Linked DNA regions of Astyanax mexicanus. The protein of the gene in region 2 interacts with the protein of the main gene of each other region in a pairwise test. Links are inferred from orthologs where the notes say so. Each region holds a gene or a part of one and is shown on either strand. Other genes may lie near its edges.

The links. The genes of interacting proteins can lie anywhere in the genome.
Region 1: the proteins of tsen54 (region 2) and tsen2 interact in a two-hybrid assay, tested with the Homo sapiens proteins (2 studies listed by BioGRID and IntAct). The two-hybrid records come from large-scale screens. The link is inferred for Astyanax mexicanus from reciprocal best matches to the Homo sapiens genes TSEN54 and TSEN2.
Region 3: the proteins of tsen54 (region 2) and clp1 interact in binary tests that used the Homo sapiens proteins (3 or more experiments, as listed by UniProt). The link is inferred for Astyanax mexicanus from reciprocal best matches to the Homo sapiens genes TSEN54 and CLP1.

What each region holds. Positions count from the first base shown.
Region 1 is NC_064431.1:12,867,691-12,875,521, reverse strand, and holds the start of tsen2 (tRNA-splicing endonuclease subunit Sen2), read left to right. Parts: upstream 1-4,618; 5' UTR 4,619-4,721; intron 4,722-4,946; exon of another isoform or gene 4,947-5,234; intron 5,235-5,266; exon of another isoform or gene 5,267-5,679; intron 5,680-5,797; 5' UTR 5,798-5,802; coding exon 5,803-5,994; intron 5,995-7,163; coding exon 7,164-7,230; intron 7,231-7,363; coding exon 7,364-7,403; intron 7,404-7,831.
Region 2 is NC_064426.1:11,616,606-11,623,907, forward strand, and holds the start of tsen54 (tRNA-splicing endonuclease subunit Sen54), read left to right. Parts: upstream 1-4,013; 5' UTR 4,014-4,060; coding exon 4,061-4,122; intron 4,123-6,371; coding exon 6,372-6,530; intron 6,531-7,302.
Region 3 is NC_064417.1:23,193,253-23,200,787, forward strand, and holds the start of clp1 (polyribonucleotide 5'-hydroxyl-kinase Clp1), read right to left. Parts: upstream 3,214-7,535; 5' UTR 3,108-3,213; intron 1,746-3,107; 5' UTR 1,744-1,745; coding exon 1,468-1,743; intron 1,439-1,467; exon of another isoform or gene 1,248-1,438; coding exon of another isoform or gene 1,203-1,247; intron 640-1,202; coding exon 532-639; intron 1-531. UniProt on the Homo sapiens protein: Polynucleotide kinase that can phosphorylate the 5'-hydroxyl groups of double-stranded RNA (dsRNA), single-stranded RNA (ssRNA), double-stranded DNA (dsDNA) and double-stranded DNA:RNA hybrids. dsRNA is phosphorylated more efficiently than dsDNA, and the RNA component of a DNA:RNA hybrid is phosphorylated more efficiently than the DNA component.

The DNA.
Region 1 (7,831 bases), on a different chromosome or scaffold from region 2:
AACTGGTAGCCAGTGGAGCTCAATGAGCAGCGGGGTGACATGTGCCCATTTTGGTTGGTTGAAGACCAGACGTGCTGCTGCATTCTGGATCATTTGCAGGCCGGGAGGCCAGTTAGCAGGGCATTGCAGTAGTCGAGGCGTGAGATGACGACTGCTTGTACCAGGAGTTGGGTGGCCTGTTGCGTCAGAAACTGTCTAATTTTCCTAATTTTCACCTGTTAGTGGTTTTACTCTTATGGCTGATTGTCATATATAAATGACAACATTACTATTCTGTGCAATTCACTCTCTAGGTAATTTACTTCCTATTCTATATCTGTTATAATAGGTATACTAACAACTGCATGTAAACAGCATCATAATACAGATCTTTATTTAAACCAATTATCCATAACATTAAAACCCTTGACAAAAAATGTGAAAATGAATGACTTTTGTTCCAGTGTTTCCTGTCAAGGTATAGATATAGGCCTCATCGTCATCATATAGAACTGAAATTTTTTGTGAGTAAAATTTAATTATACTCAATTATTTCCCATTTTACACTCTATATAAGCCATACCATTAAAACCAGTCTTACAGAATACAAGGCGCGTGGTTTTAATGTTATGGCTGATTAGTGTAAATGAAGATTTGTATATGATGCTGTTTACATGCAGTTGTTAAGTATATCTATTATAAGAGATGTAGAATATAAAGTAAATTACTTAGAAAGTGAATTGCACAGAAAGTGATGTTGTTAGTAGATGTACTGTACTCTTTGTCTCTGCGGTTGCTGATTTGACTGAGCTGAACTATAGAACTGGTAGCTCTGAGTTCCGTTCTTTAGTTTTGCAGGAAATGCACTTTTTTCATAAAAATACAGCATTATAAATAGACTGATGTTTAGAAGCCTCTACTTTTGTATCTACTTTGTCCATAACTGATTGTAACAAACCACAGTGGTTTCACACTAAACTGAACATGCTTATAAAAGAGACCACAGAAATAAATGTAGTATCAAACATCTGACGAGTATGTTCATGAGAACTGCTAATTACCTGCAGCATTTTTAGTTCTCTCATAGTCTTCTCATAGTTTTGAGCTTATAAGGCCTCTTTCAATAACTATATTATTAACTTGTTATCCAATCCAAACATTTTACCTTAATAATTTTTGATCTCAATATTGGACATTCTTGTTTTTCTTGAAAAAAAAGAGCCTAGTAATGTGAATGAGTTGGTGTGTTGATTTTGTGTAAAAACAGTTATTGTATTTATGTTTAAATTATTTATTTATAGTATATTTCGATATAAATGGTCCTAATAATTAAAGTATCTTGCTCTTTAAATGGGTGTAATTATATTAATCTAATGTCTGGAAGTTTTTGTTGACATACCTGTGGTTTGTTATTAGGGCTGCGCGAAATGGCTACAAAAAATAGCCATTGTGAAATAAAGGCATCATGCAATTCTTTTAATTACAATGTTTCTACAACACAATTTGCTAAACATTTGGCACAAGAAACCACACAAACACAGATGTGAAATATTATTATTATAATTTTATATACCATTTAATATATATATATATATATATATATATATATATATATATATATATATATATATATATATATATATATATATATATATAATATAAAGAATAATCAGACACTATTTGTTCTATATGTAAAAAAATAGTGTCTGATTATTCTTTGATATATATATATATATATATATATATATATATATATATATATATATATATATATATATATATCAAAGAATAATCAGACACTATTTTTTTTACATATAGAAATGTTAAATATTCAAAATAAATAAAACACAAATAAAATAAAAACACTCATTCAGGTTTATGGGTTCTTCTTACTAACAGAACACAATTGGAAATTATGAGGAAATTATTCTTTAAGTAATATTATTACATATCTCCCATTTATTTAAGTTAGGTTGTTTTTTATATATATATATATGTTTTTTATACATTTATATATATAAACATATTATGTATTCTACTGTAAAATCCCATATAAAAACTATATGCTATATAAACACATACCTATTCTATGATGCATGTGTACTTTGCATACATTTTTAAATTTTTAACAAGTAAAGATAGAAAAGGGTGTACATTCCTCACAGTGAGAACTTTTTTGTGGTGGACAAATCATCAACCATGAACTGCATGCAAGCTGAATAAGCCAGTTTAACTCTCCCAGCCAGTCTCATTTTCCACCCACATTCAGTTCTGAGAACCCTTTTTTTAGCTTTTGTTGTCTACAAGAACTCTGTCCTCTCAGGTGCAACCAGTGAAGAATCAGGTCACCGATTGCTCAAATGGTATCATGTTTTTTGGCTTTGTAAAAGTTCACCAACACTGGCTGGATTTCACTGTGTCATCTGCGTTCATGGCCAAATTCGTCATTTGGCTGCTGATCAAACTAAAATTAACTGTAGTTAACTTTTGCTATTTATTTTTATGATGGTCATTTATAAAGCTGTGAAATAGATATTATATCAGAAGTAGATTTTTACATTTACGTTCATTCTTTCTTATATAAATGACAATCATATTGTTTTTAAAATATATTTTCTTTGCCTATACTCCGCTTTAGGAAGGTGCAAATGTATCTTATCACCTTAGCAGCAAATATAAGCCAACCATTCTAGAATTATGCATCTACATATTTTGTCTCTTTTTGACTTATTCTCAGACACATTAACGTTCCTTTAACTGTGCTGTATTTAATATACAAGCTGGCAGGATGCCTAACATGATGCCTACCTCAAGGCCCATTTATTCAATGGGCAACATGCTGGTTAAGATTACCCCCTAGTGGCTGATCTAAAATGTGAAATATTTTAAGAGCTCAAAGCAGCACACTGATTACCATCAAAATCCAATTTTAGCTAAGCAACAGTGACATCTATCAATTTAATTGAGCGGATGAAAAAGTAGACTTCATACGGATACACTGGAGCAGTAGTATAAGTTTTAGCGTCTTAAAAAACACTCGAAAAGTACAAATTCATCAATATTTTACTGGAAGAAGGTGCCTGAAACTAGGAACCAACTCTGACAAAGAGTGATAGTATGAACCCAGTGAAAACCAGAAATGCTTGACAGTTTCTTGGAATCAGAGATTTTTATGTCAGGGTTTTTTCTTTGTATTTTAGGGGACACACCTCAGACTTTCAACTTGTCTGAAATCACAGCATGGTTTGATTTAGTGGGGAATCTGCTAAGTTCAATGGATTATACTGTACATATACAGCAGGAATGTTTGAGCCTTAAACATTTATTAGCAATATTTTATTCTATTATATTCTATTAAATTAATTTATTCTATTAAATACATATTTAACTTTGTATTTACACACAATAATATTGTTTTATATTTTTGGAAGTATTCATTAATATATCCAGGATCTAATGCCAATAAAGAAGCTGTTAAATTATTTGTTTAAATTATAGGGACATGGGTACTGATATTCTAGCTTTTGGTAGTATCATGAATGGAATAACCAGTCAACTGTCCTTCTAGCATTCTGGCTGTTGTCCTATTTTATTTGTAATTAAATGTAGAAACACCCTTATAAACAAACAAATAGTTAGCAAAATCTTATATGTTATATGAATATTATATAACTGTATAAAACTGTCATATATCGGTGTGCTCTGACTTTGGTGGATTGGCATTTTAACATTCACTGCTTCTTTGCATCTCAGCAGAGGAAACTGTCCTGCTTAGTAACATTGTGAAAGTGTGCAAGCAGGTAATTTACGGAAATGTTATTTTATTTGCTAATTGTTAATGGAAAAGTTGGGTTTGTGAGTGCTGCATGTTTTGTGTGTGTGTATGTGGAGCGGGGGTGTATGCACATTAAGCGTGCATTGTGCCTGAGTTGCCAAGATAACAATGCACATCTGACAGTTAACTGTTGTTAGGGTTCTTGTCAGTCAGTGATGCACCTGTTTTTTTTATTGTCAAGATAGCAATACCTGAACACACCTGACTTCCAGACTGCCATGCCCATCTGTGTAGATATATTTGTAAGCGTCTTTGCTTCTTAAAAAATGCAAACACAAGGCGTGAAAATAGACTGTTGATGGAGTGGAAGATAGCAATAAGCATTGCAACACGCTTTGCACAGGGTGTAAGATAGAGTCCAATGTTAAGCTAAGCTAAAGATGTTGCCATGTGGATCAGCCCGACATCTTCCTGTAGCAGTTTTCTCCAGTTTCTGAAGGTCTTTTGAATGTGTATGAAACAGTACTCACCGCTTTCTTTCGTAATCTGTAGCTATTTTCTTTAAAGAAAAGACTTTTAATAGTTACAGGGTTCTCTGTGTTGCTGTGTCTTTTTGTAGTTTCTATGATGAAAGTGTAAATGTGCAGTGTGTAAATGCTGCAGTAGAGAGTGCAGAAACACAATTTGTTCCAATAATGCTTGACTAAAGACTACAGGCTAAACAATTTCCATAGCTTTTTCCTTTTTACATTATACATTTTTTTATTTAATACAATTTTTTCTTTAAAAGGCCTGATAGTTTACTGCTAACTTTTCTAGGTTACTATTTTATGTATTTCACGTCACCTGAACATCTTAAATGGCAAAAACAAACAGAAATAAAACAACTGCTTCAAAACGGACAGGAACCAAATACTAGTAGCTGTGAACTCGGTGGACGTGTTTCACTGTGGCACCGGAACTGCAGGTTAGTTAGCATAGCACAGCGTAAGCTAAATACATGAATGGAACTAAATGTGTGGATTTAAAGTTTTGTTTTTTATATTTCTGTGAGAAATCTGTATAAAATGTTCACAATGATTTCAAAGAATTGTCATTTTCACTCACCCCAGTATCTGTTTTTGCCGTTTATCCAACTTGCTAACCGCTCGTTCAGGGAAAGCTAACGTCAGTTACAGCAGATGATCAGCGTGCTAAGCTAACTGCCTGTCTGTCTCCAGGGTTACCAACCAGCTAGCGTAGCAGCGTCTCTAATCTTGTTTTTCTGAGGCGTTAAGCCATTGTTTACTAGAATTTAGGGTGTTTCTTCTTACTTTAGAAATCACTTAATATCTACAAAAATCTGTATTGACATCTTAATGTTTCTTCTGAGCTTTGTTTGTATTGATTTTCTGCAGTTAGAGCCTAAAGTTACTCTTCTGGGAAGATTTATCTGATGATTTGCTAAAATACATCTCCACCAGAGCATCAGTTAGAACAGGTAGATAGCTAACTAGGGGTGAGCGATATGGCTCTAACATAATATCACGGTATATCATGGTATTTTCACGATAGTGATTCTCTTGGCGATATGAAAAAAAAAACTGAATAAAAAAATTCAAGAATATACTACTGCAACAAAATGAAAATTAAGTATTATTATTGCCTATGATATGATATGGCACACCATTAACTGAGATATTACAAAATACAATTTTATCAGATTTGTAGCAGAAGTCAATGATCCAGAATGTCATGATACTAATAATACACTTCAAATATCTGTATATATCCAGTATTAAAGTAAAATTAATAATACTGGACAAACACAATCTGTCTGTAGTAGAAAGATCATGGGAAAGGGGCAAAAAAAAAACTTGGGGGGCCCCCCTCTACAACCAGCCCTGCTAAGGAGTAAGAACTTGGGACAGGGTTGCAAAAATGAGGTCTAGAAAAATATATATTTCTTTTTATTAGTGAAATGTTTACAGAATAAGTCTTTTTGACCACACCAGCACTTTGTAATCCTACAGTTCTTATATGTTCTCTTTATATACATTTCAGCAGATATGGAAGCGGTGTTCCAGGCTCCAAAACGGAGACCAAAAGTTTACGAATCATTTGAGAGCCCACTGCCCGTTCCTTTTACCTCAGTCCAAGGCACTTCCTCACTTCAGGGGGCCCTCATATGCAAAGCCGAGATCATAAACCAGCACGTTATAGTACGAGAAGCTGACCACATTCAATCACTGTATGGAAAGGTAAGTTTTAACAATATGTACCCTTTTTATTGTTGCTGTTTATTCAAGCAAACCTTTGGATGTTCAGCTTTTTAGGTTTTAGTAAAGTATACTAAATTTAATTTTAATGTTTTAAATAGAGCATTATGCCGACCTTACACCTAACGATTTTTAAGCGATTTCTCTCTCGCAGACAGATTTCCAGAGTCGGGATAAAATCACTAGAGTCTGGCTAGAGTCGGGCTACAGTCGAGTCGCGGTCGCATCATTCGGATCGTTTAGTATAAGGTGGTTATGACTGAAAGTTTTAGTCAGTCAGGTTTGCGTCCTGGCGCTCAGATAAAATCAACCGTGTTTAATATTATCTCAAGTCTTGAGACTCAGCTCACGCAAATAGTGACGTGAACAATGTCAGCAACCAATAGGAGAGGGAGCTACGGGAAGAGGCAAGAATATATTTCACGTAACTGTTCACATACAAACTATTTAAAAAAGAACAGATTTGGCAGTTAATATGCCTTATATGGTTCTTACTTTAATATGTATAATTTTTTAAACACAGGTTGCACTTTAAAGTTATTATATTTGTAGTTATTTTATTTTGCACTACTCTGTCTTATTGTGCTGTGTTATTTTTAATAAATACACATTTTGCAAGAATGATGTCCTTATTGCAATAATTCTATTTAAAACAAAGGCAAATGTATAGCAGCAAAGCTTTGATTATTTGCTGTACACAAATGTAGCAAAAAGGGGGGAAAAGAAGTTTATAATCAGAGCTGAACACAAAATGTATTCTATTAAGTAATATCAAGAACAAACAGTGTGGCAGAAAAAATTAACTGTTGATGGGGACACATTTTGTGAGTCTCTGATAAATCGCATTATTGACTGTAATTTAATTATTTGTAATTTAATATGTAATATGTATTGTATGTAAACTCCACCTGAAGCATGATGGTAAATAATCTCAGAAAGAATATAGTTGTAGTCTTGCAGTTAGTGATCCTCAGTCTTTGCAAAATCTTAGCCTGTGACTATTCTGTGAGTAAAAAGTCTGTGACAAGTCTTTAGATGTGAGAGGGTGTCAGACTTCAGTCTTTTCAGAGTCTTTTCAAAGTCATGTAGTGTATGGACAGCTTTAGTTGTATTTAGATTTTTTACTTCATATTTTATAAATTTTTTTCTAGGGTTATTTTGGTAAAGGAGTTCTGTCAAAAAGCAGACCAGAGCACAGTATTTCAGAACGGTGGGAATGTGAGTATTGATTTGAATTTGTATTTCGCTAATTTCATCTTTACATGTTTACAATGAAAATGTTGTAAGTTTTAACTGGCAATTAAAATACAATACACTAAAAAACACATTATTTTCTTCTGTTTATATCTAGACATAGGCAATGAATGTTTACCTGTTATCCCCTTGTCAAGGTAAGTAGTTGGCACTTCATAATTGTGATTGTTTTGCTGTCTGTAAATTATAAATATCTTCAAGGCAGCAATTATGAAAAATAATAAAAAATAATTAAAAATGAAAATTTGTTATTCTGCCTTCTACCAGATTATTTCACAATACTTTTTTGTTGATAGATGTTAGGAAGGAAAAATAGGTATTATGTATTATCTAACAGATGCATATTATATTATGTCTGCCCAATATAATTAAAATGTTACTTAAACTTCTGATGAAAATTCCTGCTTTTTTAAATATCACAGATTATTATATTGGAAAAAAAATATTATACAATCCTACAAACAGTGTTGTCTACTAAGATTAATCTGCGCACTGCTCATTAGAATTCATTCGATCGCATAAAACCCTCAAGAGGATTGCAATGAATCTTGCCCCTTAAACAGGT
Region 2 (7,302 bases):
ATAAATCCGGATTAATCATGATTATAGTCATGAATAGTTTAGTTTAGTTTAGGTAGTAATGTTGTAATAGTACAATATGTTTACTAAGATGGTGTACTTATATATTCTGACTGAAAGAAAACAGCCATAGTAACATGTGGCAGAAAAAAACACAATGCTTCATTTTCAGGAATTTATAATAGTAATTTCACCTAATATTTGAGGTGAAGCTCAAGCTGTTCACTGTATTTAAACTTATTTTAGAGAATCAAGGTCATAATTGTAATTCTAGGTCAACCACATTGTTATTAAATAGCAATTCCTAAAAAATGTAAATTGCTGCCATTTAGGGGGGCATACCATGACACGGTGAATGCATGAATGAAGTGAAATAAAAGTGAAAATAAAGTCATTAAGCTGGGAAAGAATATTTATCTGCAGTCTTATAAATATAATAAATTGTCAAAAGAATGTCAAATGTTTAAATCATTTTTTTAAAGTTATAAGACCCAATTACCAATATTCGGATAATGATCCACCAAAGTACAACTGTATTATTACCTAACAGTTTTTTTCCCCTGTCTTCTGTTTAATGTTTTTTTTTACGAAGGAAAAACAGACACAAGTCTCAGCTTTTGGGGTAAAAACTCAAAAGGTGGTGAAGTAAAGCCAGAACATGTTGCATTTTTGGTGCATGGGTGGCCTCACTGTCAGCTTGAGGCGTTTGTTTCTATGGTGATGAGGAGGTCTTGGGAAGCTATCTGGCTTACTGGAAATGTGGCTGCATTGTTGACTTTCTGTCAGGAGGTGGGGGGTGGCGGGGGAGCCGTGGAAGGAGTGACTGCTCCCTTCCTTGTGGTGTGTGTCCATGTTTTGGTTTGTGAGGTACTCTTTCATTTGATATGCATCCCTCACCTCTGGGGTCAGTTGGTCTTGTTTTGTGGCCAAACAAAGGAGAGCCTGAGCACAGTGGCCACACACGTCACCGTCCACTGTCCACCTGACACCCCTAATAACACCTTACAGAACACTTCATCAATTGCCTTGAAGTGCAGTCAAAAGCTTTTAAAACAAAGGCCATTTACACATTCACATGGTGCTTACTGGATGTGTAATGGGCTCTGGTGTCATCTTCCACTTTGGTGTCTCTCAGAAACCAACAATGTAAATAGATGAGACAGTGACAGCAATGGTCCACCCAGTTTGAACATACTCAACTAGTATTATTAAGTTCAGCACCACCTTTTTTAAATTTTTAGTGGTACATTAGGCGTTTCTAAACCTCAAGCGTTAGCCTTCAGATTTAAGGTGTGTTCTACAGCCTCCTGATGTAAAATATCAATTGTTCAGATTTTACACACAGTATAAAGTTATAGTACAGTACAGTAAACATATCCAAAATGATAATGATGAACAGAGTATTATGGGTGGGTCACATTAAATGTTTCTCTGTTCTCAACTTGGGAAACTTGCTTGCTTCATCTGACTTCATAAAATATTTTAGAAAAGGATATTTCTTGCAGAGAAAATTAAATTTATTCCTACATCAAACTGATGGCAGACAACAAACAGCATCTGTTGTGGGTAATGAACTGTACAAAGGTAAAAACTCCATAATAGACTGCCGGGCTTTGTTGCCTACAGGGCTGTCAAGGTTACATTAGCGTACACGATTCATTTGGATGGATTAATGAGTAATTATTTTGTTAACGAAAATTAATTACGCCATCAAGTTTGACCCTAATTTCAACTGTAATCTGCCCCGCCCAATGCGCAGATATTTTTTCTAGAGTGGTTTGCTTGTGGTGAGAACGATCTGGTAACGATCTGGTAACGATCAGACCCATCTGAGCTATCAAATATATTACTTTATAACTGAGCTAAACTGGCTCAGTTTAATCTGATATATTAGTCAGAAAATACACTGCTATGAACAAATGCTGTCTCTGCATCTCCATGCTCTTTACACGCTAAACCTGCAGTCTAGAGATGGAACAATCGATCGGCTGTGTATCGGCAGTGTTCTCAAGTCTCATGCTTTGAGCGTGTGACACACGCACCTCAGCGAGTTTACACGCTCACACGCCACACATGGTATTTCTCACGCTTGCCAATCCATCAGCTGTAAATTATAATGTACTCTCGTTGAGCCAATTAGAATATAGATCGCTCTGTTGTTAGGCAGACCTAGTCAAAGAGGGTGGAGTTTCAGCCAGAGTGTCAGGCGAAGAACTGTCCTATTCAAAAGTTCTGAAACACGCGTTGGTGAGCAACAACGCCCCCACCCCCCACTTCAGATATGTGGTTTATTTGTTAGGAAAGGGGCTACGTGAAAATGTACATACATCTTCACCTATTGGAGCTGACGTGTCTGCATGGCCGTAGCCATATTGGAGGAGGCAACCCTGCGCCCCGAGTGCATTAATTTACACTGAGGAAGGAGTAAAATACACCAATAATAATCACAACTCTACCATTTTCACACGGTTTGGTTTGTTTCAAACAGCAGAGATGTAGTTATGATACAGGAAGCTGTCACACATTACAAATACCTGCTTTCATGCTGAAATACTTTATATTATGCTCTTTAACAAAGACAGATATATGGTATAGCATATTAATAAGGTTTATAAATTAATTATATATATATATATATATATATATATATATATATATATATATATATATATATATATTGACGTATATACACATAAATACACACAATACACATATACACACACAATATATATGTATATTTATATTTAAAATTGCATGTTATCTGTCTTCACTCTCTTAACTATAAACTTTACCATGCAATTCAAATATTAAAATCCTTGAGTTTTTTTTGTCATTGTTGTGTGACTCCAAATATGTTTATGAATGAATTCACTTATATAAAATATATACACATAAATACACACAACACGCAGCAGCTAACAACAGCAGGATTAACGGAGTTAGTTAGCTCACAAGCTAACAACAGCAGGAATAACGGCGTTAGTTAGCTCACAAGCTAACAACAGCAGGAATAACGGCGTTAGTTAGCTCACAAGCTAACAGCAGCAGCTAACAACAGCAGGAATAACGGCGTTAGTTAGCTCACAAGCTAACAGCAGCAGCTAACAACAGCAGGAATAACGGTGTTAGTTAGCTCACAAGCTAACAGCAGCAGGAATAACAGCGTTAGTTAGCTCACAAGCTAACAGCAGCAGCTAACAACAGCAGGAATAACGGCGTTAGTTAGCTCACAAGCTAACAGCAGCAGCTAACAACAGCAGGATTAACAGGGTTAGTTAGCTCACAAGCTAACAGCAGCAGCTAACAACAGCAGAATTAACAGGGTTAGTTAGCTCACAAGCTAACAGCAGCAGCTAACAACAGTAGGATTAACAGATTTCTAAAACATATTCGCTCATTCCAAGTATTTGGAAATTTAGTTAAAAGCTCTGGTTTATTGCTGTAATGTTAATTACTAAAAATGCTAAGTTTAAATCAGGTCAGCGCTTGTTATAACAGGTTATGTGGGCAGACAGAGTCAGGCTAAATTTTTAGCCCATTCTAAGCTCTAGCTGGAGTGTTAGATTACTGTTGCTCCTATTAAAATAATATATTATTAGTTATATATTAACAGTAAATATGAGCTATTTTAAGAAGTATGCTGACTCTGGTGATTGGCATATAAAAATATAAATTGTTGTCTTATAAATATTTACACAAACTTATATCTCTCCTGAAAAGTGTTTATTTTGGTCAGTAAAACTCTTCTGTTTATTTATTATCAGAGTAAATTACCAGTGTTATCTTGGGCGTGGATGTAATTAGGGGAATATGTACCATGTTTGCCTCGAGATGAAAGATGATCAGCGATCGAAATTGGCACCAAAAACACTGATCTCTAATGCAGCGTTCACTGTCAAAAGTATGGACACACCTCTTCCCATTCAGTATGTTTTATGTTTTGTATAATATTTTATATTTTATATTCAGCACAGTACCATGCTGCCCCTAGAGGAGCAGTTGCTGCACTACACCCCTAACCCTTCCGGCACTAGGACCCAGCGCTCACAGACCAGCTGTAAACATGGCCACGAAACAAGCTCACGCGGAAGCTGCACGCGCGGAACGCAGTGAGGAGTTATTAAGGTAAACGCGAGGGATTACAGCTTTCTGAGATTCCGATAGGTATCCGCTCTGTCCCGTTAGTTGGTTAGTCTAAATTCAGAGTTTGTAGCCACACATTAGCAGGGCTAGTGCTGTAGACTTGTGTCTGTGGAGCATGTGTGGGCTGAGCTGCCGTCTGAGCGCTAACAGCAAACTTTCTGATGCGTCTGAACAATAAAACATGCTGCCTACTGAGGCCGGATCCTGAGAACAGGCACACCGACATGCCTGAGTCCAACATTCCCACTCCAGCCCTGTGTAAATGCTAACAGCTAATGAGAACACAGATAAACACTGATACAGCACTGGAAAAAAATTGAGACTAACGTTACTTCCGTTTCTGTGAGTTTGCTATTTAAATATGTTTAAGTAAAGTGAACATTGCTGTTTTATTCTATAAACTACGGACAGCATTTCTCCCAAATTCCAAATAGAAATATTTTCATTTAGAGCATTTATTTACAGAAAATGAGAAATAGCTGAAATAACAGAAAGATGCCGAGCTTTCAGACCTCAAATAATGCAAAGAAAACAAGTTCATATTTATAGTTAGGGTTAGGGTTATTTATAGTTAGAGTTCATAAATTAATATTTGGTGGAATAACTGATTTTAAAACACTGTTTTAATGCATCTTGGCATGTTCTCCTCCAACAGTCTTACACACTGCTTTTAGATATCTTTATGTCTTGGTGCAAAAATTCAAGCAGTTCAGCTTGGTTTGATGGCTTGTGATCATCCATCTTCTTCTTGATTATATTCCAGAGGTTTTCAATTTGGTAAAATCTAAGAAACTCATCATTTTTAAGTGATTGTTTTTTACAGAACTGTATCTAACAGTGAATTGTCAGAACAGCAACAAGGAATCAAGTCAGCATTTCATGCGTTTCAGACACATCTAGCACAGCTGATTCCACAACTAACTGACCCAACCTAGCTAACACAGCTAGAAGATCCGCTCAGTATAAGACACGTTGTCACACCTTCTTCTGGCCGGTGTAGTGATCTATAAAAGCAATATATGGAGCAGGTTTCATATCCATCCAGCACACTGTAACTCAGAGGAATTTCCCTAGATATGACACGTTTGTATCTCTAATGATTTAACGTTGTGTTTTTATTGTTTTGCTTTATTTAAATTACTAATATTAAATATTTATATATTACTTGTATTCAGATGAGCTCAGTAAGGATAGTTCATTGTCCTCTGTTAACATCACTGTTGAATACAACCTAATTACAACAAGCTAAACTGCTATTTCTGCTGCATCCAGACTTGTAACATTACCTGACTATTACAGATATTATCTTATTTACAGCACAAAATTTTACACCTGTGAACACTTCTAAAACTAGGCTTTAAAACCCACTTCTTCCGATTTCAGCAAAAAAAAAAAACAAATCAGCACAGCCTGACTTTTCTAACAGTAAAGATAAGCTGCTGTAATCAGTGAAACTTGTGCTTATAGCACTGCAGCCTGAACAGTTTATAAAATATCTGCATACATGTGGATGGCTTGAACAAATACTATGTCTTTGAGAACTATTTCTTGAACAAAAACTGCTTTCAGACCCAAAATATTCTCAAATATGGTAAAGCAGGTATCTTAGAATCAACAGTTTATTCATAATTAATTTGGTGTAATAACTTTCTGCTAGAGAGTTTGTAGAGTACTACATTTTTCTCCCAATTACCCAAGCATTTACTGATATATTACACTATAGACATGGCTAATTCAAAACATTGCTTATATGTAATGTTAGCTAGGTATTTTAGGAGATGGAACGTCATCCCTCATTAGCACAGCATTGTGAGAGAAAGTGAATTATAATAGTAATAATAATAATAATAATAATAATAAGTATTATAATGATTAGTTCATCATACTCCTAAAAGCATTGTGAGAGTAGAAGAGCCCCAACCCTTCAAATGCCTTTAAATGAATGTCAGGCCAATATCAGAATTTTAAAATCAACCAACAATGCCTGTGAGGCGGTGTTAAACAAAGGTTCTTTACCATCACCAACATGTAGTGCAACCTAAATTATAAATTCTATACAATGTTCTTTTCCATCAGGTTTCTGAGGAACTAGTTTGTGAATGACTGGAAGTTGTTGTACAGGAAGATCCTGTCTTAATGTTTTGCAGGCAGCTTGTTTAGCTACAGTATTTCTTCTCCTCTTCACATATTTCTTCAGTATGTTCTGCCTTTTTCTGTCTTTTTACCCAAAGCCCATCAGAGCTGTTTCATGCTCGGTCACGAAGTCATAAGATTCCTGTGAGAGGGCAGAAGGAGTTCTTGCCCACTGGCTCTGAGCAGCAGAAGACACACCTTCAGAAGAGTCTTCAGGAGCACTGGACTCTGGTGGCAGAGGAACGTGTGGAGAGACTGTGAGTCACTGCCAAACCCAATTATCAACAACAACATTTCTAAGGAAGTGTTTCTCAGAACTACATTGCTTTGGCCCTCGGTACATATGTGTTAGGTGATTCTGTAAATACCTTTGTTCAGAGGCTTCTTCCTACAGTCAGTTACCTTTTCCTTCTTTTTGACACATTTGTGTTTAAATAAAGAGCCTTTGCACCAGAGAGAGAGAGAGAGCACAATTCTTTTACCAGAGGTATCCCTGTTGGTGGCCAGTAGGTGGAGCCCTTTTCCCTTTTTTAATTCAACTTTGATGCGCTCGACCGGGGTGCTCATTCCTGGTGGTCTACCATCCTGAAGATTTCAGATCTTACACACCTCAGTCTAGAATCTACACATGTCCCTGCAAAGCTTTGTTAGACTGTTACGTAGGTGTGACCAACAGGCTACAGGGAAGGAGTCTTCATGGTACAGTCGTACAAAGAACCTGTGCTACCTAAACTGCAGACTAGGACCCTAGAATCTCTATATCAAATTAAACATCCCCATCCATTTAGGACTGTGTTCTCTAGCACCCTATGATTCGATTTTATGACAAATCAGAGGTCTGCGGTGGGATTATAAAATGATTATTGATGCATCTTGATTCATTTTTTTCTTCTATACTGGATTTCTTTCTCCTCATTGCACGAGTACTTTGTACTTTTAAAGTAAAGTATCTGTAATGATCCATAATGAATCCTGCAATTTAATAGGCTCTTTGTTCATAGTTATTTCAATTTAGAAAGTGATTAATAC
Region 3 (7,535 bases), on a different chromosome or scaffold from region 2:
ATTTTAGAATTATTACTTTGTGTTGATTGTTTTGACAAAGTAAAAAGAGCACGAAAGAAGCCACTTGGCAAGGGAACTGACTGCAAAGACTATGTTCACACAGCTGATAAAGTGACCCAAATCAGATAGTCACCAATTCATATTTTTTTGGCTGTTTACAGTATCTTTTAAATTTAATGTAGTCTAGCCAACGTTAGTCTAAACAAATTAGGTATTCTGCTGCATAGGAATACCTGAATGCAATATCTGGGCTACTAGCAATCCATTTTGTCCTCTGCTCAGCGTGTATTTTTAATTAAATTCAAGCTAAATTCTTATCTGGCTGTTCAGAGTTGCATTACTGTGTATTGGATATGCACCATATTAAAAGTTGCCTTAACTGCAACTGAAAATGCCAGATACAGTGTGTTGTTTGCCAGTCATCTTGGCTCACATTTAAGAAATATGTCTTGTCTGTCTAGAAAGATCAGATTTAGGCCAGTCTACCTGCTTTGTGATTGGAGCTGTAAATGTGTGAATGGAGTGACATACCCTTGGACCCCGCTCATTGTCTCTCTCAGCTTGTCGTCTCATTTGCTCCAGTGCAGCGTGTGTGTTCAGATACAACAACATTGGTGTGTCTTTAGAGATATATGCCACCTACAGACAAAAAGACATATTACTAATTTTAATAATTTTATTTTAAACAAATTTCCAGAGAACTTCCTTTCTCTATGCTTGATTATCCTCTTCATGGCTCTATTGCTTAAGTAAGTGGTCTTCAACCCTGCTGCTTGGAGAGATACCTTCCAAATTCCAATTTTGGATCCAACTACAATAACCCCACCTGTTTAAAGTAACTACTGCCTTAATTTGCAAAATGGGGTGTGTAAAATATGGGTTGCTGCTTCACAGGACAGTGATATTCAAAAAGAATGAGACTACTATAAGGTTCAGTATGGTGGGGTAACTATTCATAAAAATGTAATAAGGATATCACTACACCGATTAAACATAACAATAACACCACTTTCTGAATGGTCAGTGGAGCTGACATAATGAACAATTCATGTAGGAACAAAGCATATAAGATACTCTACAAACTTCAGAACTTACAGTCCCTAAATGATCAAAAACAGTCCCAATACACTCTATGTCAAATTTATGGAGTGTATACAACCCCCTCTTCTGCAGTTCTGATTCACACATGTCCCTAGGCTTACCACAAGAAAGAATACAGCTCTGTAGGCACACACAGATAGTAACATAAAACCAAACACTGTAAAATCACTTAATTTATTTGAAAATCAAAGTCACATATTCAGAAACTATGACAAATTTGATGTTTGGCTAATGTTGCATTTTGGTTATTTAACATCACAACAGTGATAACAAGTTTGACACAAAGTCATAATCCTGTGTCAAACTGAAATTGGCATTTAAAGTTGTCAGTGTCAGTAACGGGTGTGCAGTACTCATGATCCTTACCTCTGTTTTTCCTGAGAGTGAGAGGCTGCAGCCCTGCCAGGTGAACACAGCGATCTTAGAGCCTGGGCCGAACGTGTACCTCTTATTTCTGTTCAGTTCAGAGCCGAACACTTCGCCCATGCCAGTCAGGAGTTCTAGCTGGACCCGCTCTCCAGACTCCACTTCAAAGCGCAGCTCAGTCTCCTTCTCTAAGTCATAACGTGTCCCTACAATCCCAGTGCCTCCTCCAGTACTCCCTCCTTCCTCACCAGGTTTTTCAGAGACCTCTGTACTCATGTCTGCAAGGAAAGAGGTGATGGAAAATAAACCATCCACGGCTTTTTCCAAAAATGCACACTATCCGACCATACATATTTTTTTTACTGAATGCATGAATATGGAGGAAATTAGAGTCAAGTGTTTTTAATCAATAGAATGACAATCAGAATGGCACTCAGTTCAATTTCAAGAACAGGGATCTATCAAAGTGTTCCCAACACATTTTTGTGGAATGTGTGAAGGATTTCTGAGGACCTCAGAAAAAGAGTTTTGACAGATTGTGTACAAATGAAGGTAATTCAGTAATTGTTACCCTCTTCAGGAGTGGTTAATTAACAAAGATCACTTCAAGAGCAAGGCTTGTAATAGTCAGCGGGGCCACAAAGGACCCCAGGGTAACCTCTAAGCAACTGAAGGCCTCTCTCATATTGGCTAGTATTAATGTTTCTGCGTCCACTATCAAGACAACCATGAACAAGGATTCCAGGTAAGGAATTAAGTATTAAATGAACCGAATCTCAATAAGCACACAAGTTGCACTTGTCTAACAATCTGATGATGATGATGATGATGATGTTTTAGATCATATGTATAATTGTAAAATTCTTTTAAAAACTTTCAAGCACCACTGCAGTAGTTTGCCAAAAAAAGCAAATTTACTCAATATAGTCTTTGGCCAAGACATGCTTGGTGTCCCAAACTGCGTTTTTTCACCCAACCCACCACATGGGGTGCCACAACAACCATTTGGGGTACTTTAGCAACTGCCTAACAACCCCTGGGGTAACACTGCACGACTAGAGCAACCCCTTTGAATAAACATAGCAATCCCAAACGAATTCACTCTTGTAATACCACAGCAAGTACCAGGGATACCATCACAAACACCTGACATATCGTAGCGACTGCTTACTTAACAACATCTCAATTTCAACTACTAGAAACTTTAGTAACCACTCAGGCCCATCACAGCAACCACCTAGCATAAACATAGCATCTAGGTAACTTAACCTAGCTCGAAGTGTACGTTAAATAGTAATATTAAAGTTTGTTAGAAAGCTAACTAGCTAATATTATTAAGCACCTGCGTCTGAGGAAGATCAGATAATATTAAACTGCAGATTTAATCTTCTCTAAGGTTTGTGTGTAAAGGTGATATAACTTAATGAATGTTTTATAGAACAGGCGTTTCACTCGTTAGCGATCTTAGCCTTTAGCTAGCTTAGCTCCGAGCCCCAGCAGCAAACTAACAATACACCGCCCGCCTGATTTATCCTCTTTATCCAGCGGCTGAGTTTAAACTCCTCCCTGAAATATAAAAGCATGTGGTCTAAAAGTGTTTAAATATAAAATAAAAAGTTCAGGCTGTATTTCCTCCTTACTGTCCAGTAAAATCTCCAAACAAGTCCAGGGGTCTTCAAACAGCCCACCAGCGCCAGGCAACTCGGGCGCGTGGTGATGCCGTCAGACATCACCCGCACGAGGCTCCTGATTTAAAGGACCCTTTTTTCCTTTACAAACTCTTCACCCACTATAACACACTGTTTCCCTCAGAAAACAACCACTTTTGTTTTTTTAACCATATTATACTTTATTTTTAACATATCGATGTGTTTATTTTCTTTTTCTCTAATGTAAGAAGGCATATTTACGTCCACTACAATAAGGCTTACAAGTGGGTCACAAACAAAATTATGTAATAAATATGCAAGAATGTATGCATATTTATGCAGCAAATTGCAAGAATATGTAAAGAAATATTTTAGGCCGTTTATATTCTTACTATACGCGTGTATACTTACTTAAAGTGTTTTTGCAGATAGAATACTCCAGCATGTTTTGGGTGCCTGCTCTAAAATATCTGATTCAAACAATAAGTTTCATACTCCCATAGGGTCTCCCAATCTTTCAAAAAATTACATATTTACTCCCATAAAATCTAATTATGCCATGGAGTGTGAATAATAAAACAACAAATTCTCAATCATTTCTAATCCAGTTTTCCTTCAGTTTACACGGGTTAAAAAGTAAGTGGAGAATTGTATTCTCCTCTCCTCTATTAATTCCTCAAAAATGATAAACAATTAAAATGTACAGACATCTAAACAATCGCAGGCCTGTTTTATATACTTAGTTACACAAAATATTTGTATCTTCAAAAGTATTTACAGCTTTAGGAACTACATTTTATCTCTAACTACATTTAATGATACAAAACAGCATTATTATTTACTGCAAATTAAATTATGTAAGAACATTATCTTTAGATATGTTTATATCTTGTAAGGAACATACATGGGTCATGAAAGGAGACAAACCAAGTACAAATATAGAAGCTTTATTATTATTATTTTTTTAATGAGAACAGAAAACAGACTAAAACAGTTCAGTTAGAAGGCAAGACATCTGTAACCTCAACTCTACAGATCCAGACTGGTTTTATTTTTTACAAAAGCAGAATCACTCAGTTAGCCATGCACGCGAGGCCAAACCGCAAAACCATTAAAAAGGATTGTATATTCCCACTGAACAATTTCCAGTGTTGGTCCAATGTATCCTGCTATATTGAAAAATCCTACTTTATTAGATGACATAACATACAGAAAACCACACAGAAAAACAGAAAAAGTGAGAGAATAGATCACAAGATCTAAATAACAAGAATTGGAGTTAAGAGGTTAAGCAAGAGATCACAAGGAGGCTGCAATCATCCAGGGTCTAGTTGCCAAAAAACATCAGAGAACAGACTGGAAGTCGTCCATTTGGTCCATCCTCATCATTATGCATACATAGAACCAAAGATGATTGACTGAAAATGAGGGTAAATCAAACATTAAACATTTGCTAAGCTTTTTAAAAAAACTTCCTTAAAAAATATTCCACATTTTTAAATAAACATTTCAGAAAGTGCATGCATGTAATAAACCTAAAAGCTAACTTTTATGATATTCCAACATACCCATCTCCTCACTAATCTCTAGTTGCTCTTCAGGGCATCGCCAAGCACAGTCACAACCTCAGCAGGATCTGGAAATTTTAGTTTACGGGGAGGACCCTTCTTGATGCCAGTCCAGAGGACCACCTCTGCAACAAACAAAAAAATAGTTCACTCATTGCTGACACAGATGTGCAAATAAACACACAAAAAATGTATAGTCCCTATAAAGAAATACTGCCAATAGAATAGAAAATTACTCTCTAAAACACAAACAAACCTACTGGCACAGTGCACAAGGTCAGCGGCTCAATAGAGGAGTATAAATACCCCAGGCACTAAGCTGTGGGGCGGTGGAACTGTGTCCTCTAGAATGATAAGGCTCCATCCAATACCAAAAGGCAAGACTGTGAGGGACTAAGGAATGCCGTTTGCACTGGAGACTTTAATTTTTGGTCTGTTTTAGCATGTTTGCAGTGTAACTATTCTAGTGCATTGTTTGTTAACCCTGCCTTTGGAATCCCGGTCTCACCTAGCCATGACCAGTTAAACTCTGCATAAAAGTAAACCAGCACTTTAGACATCATTATATTCTGCATAGCTGCACCATAACCTTTGTCTCCTTCCATTAGGGTGACCTCAAAGCTGTTTCGACGAGGCTTCTGGGGGTTGAGCACCACACGCAGCTCGGGATGTACAGCCAGGAGAGCCTCACGGACCATGTCGGCATTCCGACCATACACTCGTCAGCTTTTACTAAGAGGCAAAAACACATTGCAGCCATTATGTGAACACAAGCCTTTTGAGAGAGAGCTCTATACATTACACACCTCCCAAATATTATTAAATATAATTTAATTAATTATAAAAAATTATACATGCATTTTTTTATTTAATATCAACTGTGTAACAAACTAATACAACCAAAATCTGGGTTAACCCTGTTAACAATCATTGAAAGAGAGAGAGAGAGAGAGAGAGAGAGAGAGAGAGAGAGAGAGACTGATTCTGACCAGTGTTCGATGACCACTCTTTGGCCTTCGTCCTGTTCGGCATCTGTTGTTTTATCCTTCTTTGCCTCTGGCTCCGACTCCACAACAGCATCCACCTTGCGCTTTGCCCCACGACCTACACACACATATTGGAGACTATTTAGTTCAATATGGATTGAACAGATAACCAGAAATTAACTACTGAGTACTGAGGGGCTGTTTTTCTTGTTTTGTGGGTAAGGATACTATAAGTCCCAAATGTTTGTTGACACCCCTAGTACTGAATGTATTTAGTTCCTTTAGATTGCACCCACAGCTTGTCTCGTCTCTTAAAATACATCTTAAAAAAAAAAAAGAATCTGGAACAGATCATTTTAATTATTTTCCTGTATAAATCATTGATTGTTCAGACCAGCAGTTTCAGTAAAATATAAATAAAAATAAGGTTAAAATAAATCAAATAAGGTTAATAGAATTTGAAGAAAGTGTACAATAATTATACCAAATAATTAAACCAAATTAGAAAAGTGCATAAAAAATACCAGAAATAAATACATCAATATATAGTAGATTCCCGTTTTGCAGAAATAACAACCTCTAAAGCTTTCTATAGCTTCCATTGAGAGTCTGGCTTCTGGTTTAAGGTATTCTGGATTATTCCTTTTTACACAAATAAATTTGCTGATCCAAACAACCAATGATTTATAAATGAAAATCAGGGGTGCCAAATTTTTTCATACCATTTCATACCATAGGGGGCGATCAACACTCTTATAACATTTTCTCACGTGGGTATAAAAACACTAGTTAACCATACTACCACCTTCCACTATTAGAACCTGACCTCACTAAAGTCTTTGTGGCTTTCAGAGGAGAAGTATTATACGTATACATATATAAGCTGGGTTAAGTATATTAGCTAGTTTAACTAGTTAAGTTAGTTAACATCGCCTAACGCTTCTGAGCACTGCATCGCTGTAAGGTTAAAACAGGTTTAAAGGTAAGAAAACCACGTATCCTGACCCAGGAGTGGCTAAAACATGGCCAACGTAATGTGCACACCTTCATAACATCTATGTTAGCTGGATAACTAGCTAACCTGTCTACCCGCTGTATTACTGAAGGTGTTCAGCCAGACTTATAAAATCCAGGTTATCTAATGAATCTGTGCAGGTCGTGCTGCTCACTCTTTAGCTACGTTACACAAGCTAACTAACACTAGACAACTGCTCTACAGCTCCTCGGCTACTCACATAAATATCTACTATGTTGCACGGTTATAAACCCTGACATTTATTTAACTGTAAAATAAATCACTAACCTGCTTTAGCGCGAGGAGGCATTTTAGGACGCCGCTGTAACTGTTTTTGGCGCGAACTGTGGAAGAATCTGCTGTCCTTAAACGACTCCTGTAAACGAGTCAATCGAGCCTAATAACACTAAACCATGTACTAAAAACAAATGATCCGATTCACCAAAATGAATCTTTCCTTTACTGAGCCGATGGGAGCTTTTATAGAGAGAATACTCACTTCAGCATCTCCTCTGGGTTAGTGTGACCACCAGGGGGCGCTACGGAGTGAGCCCAAAATGAATGGGTTCAAACGGAGTAATTGTGCAGAATGTATGCCATATATCATATATCATCATATGTATATATATTTTCATACTTAATATTTTGCTCTTTTTTTTCAACAATTGTTTCAGCACCGCAGACATAATTTAAAAAGCGTTTAAACTACAGTTATAAACCTATTAAACATGCTCTGGCTGTAACTTTAGCATCTGCTCACCAGCCAGACAGCTCACGGTAGCAGGGATGCTATAGCGCCTTTACTGCGTAAACCCGTTTGCTGTAGACAAATTCACAAAAATGTAGGTAG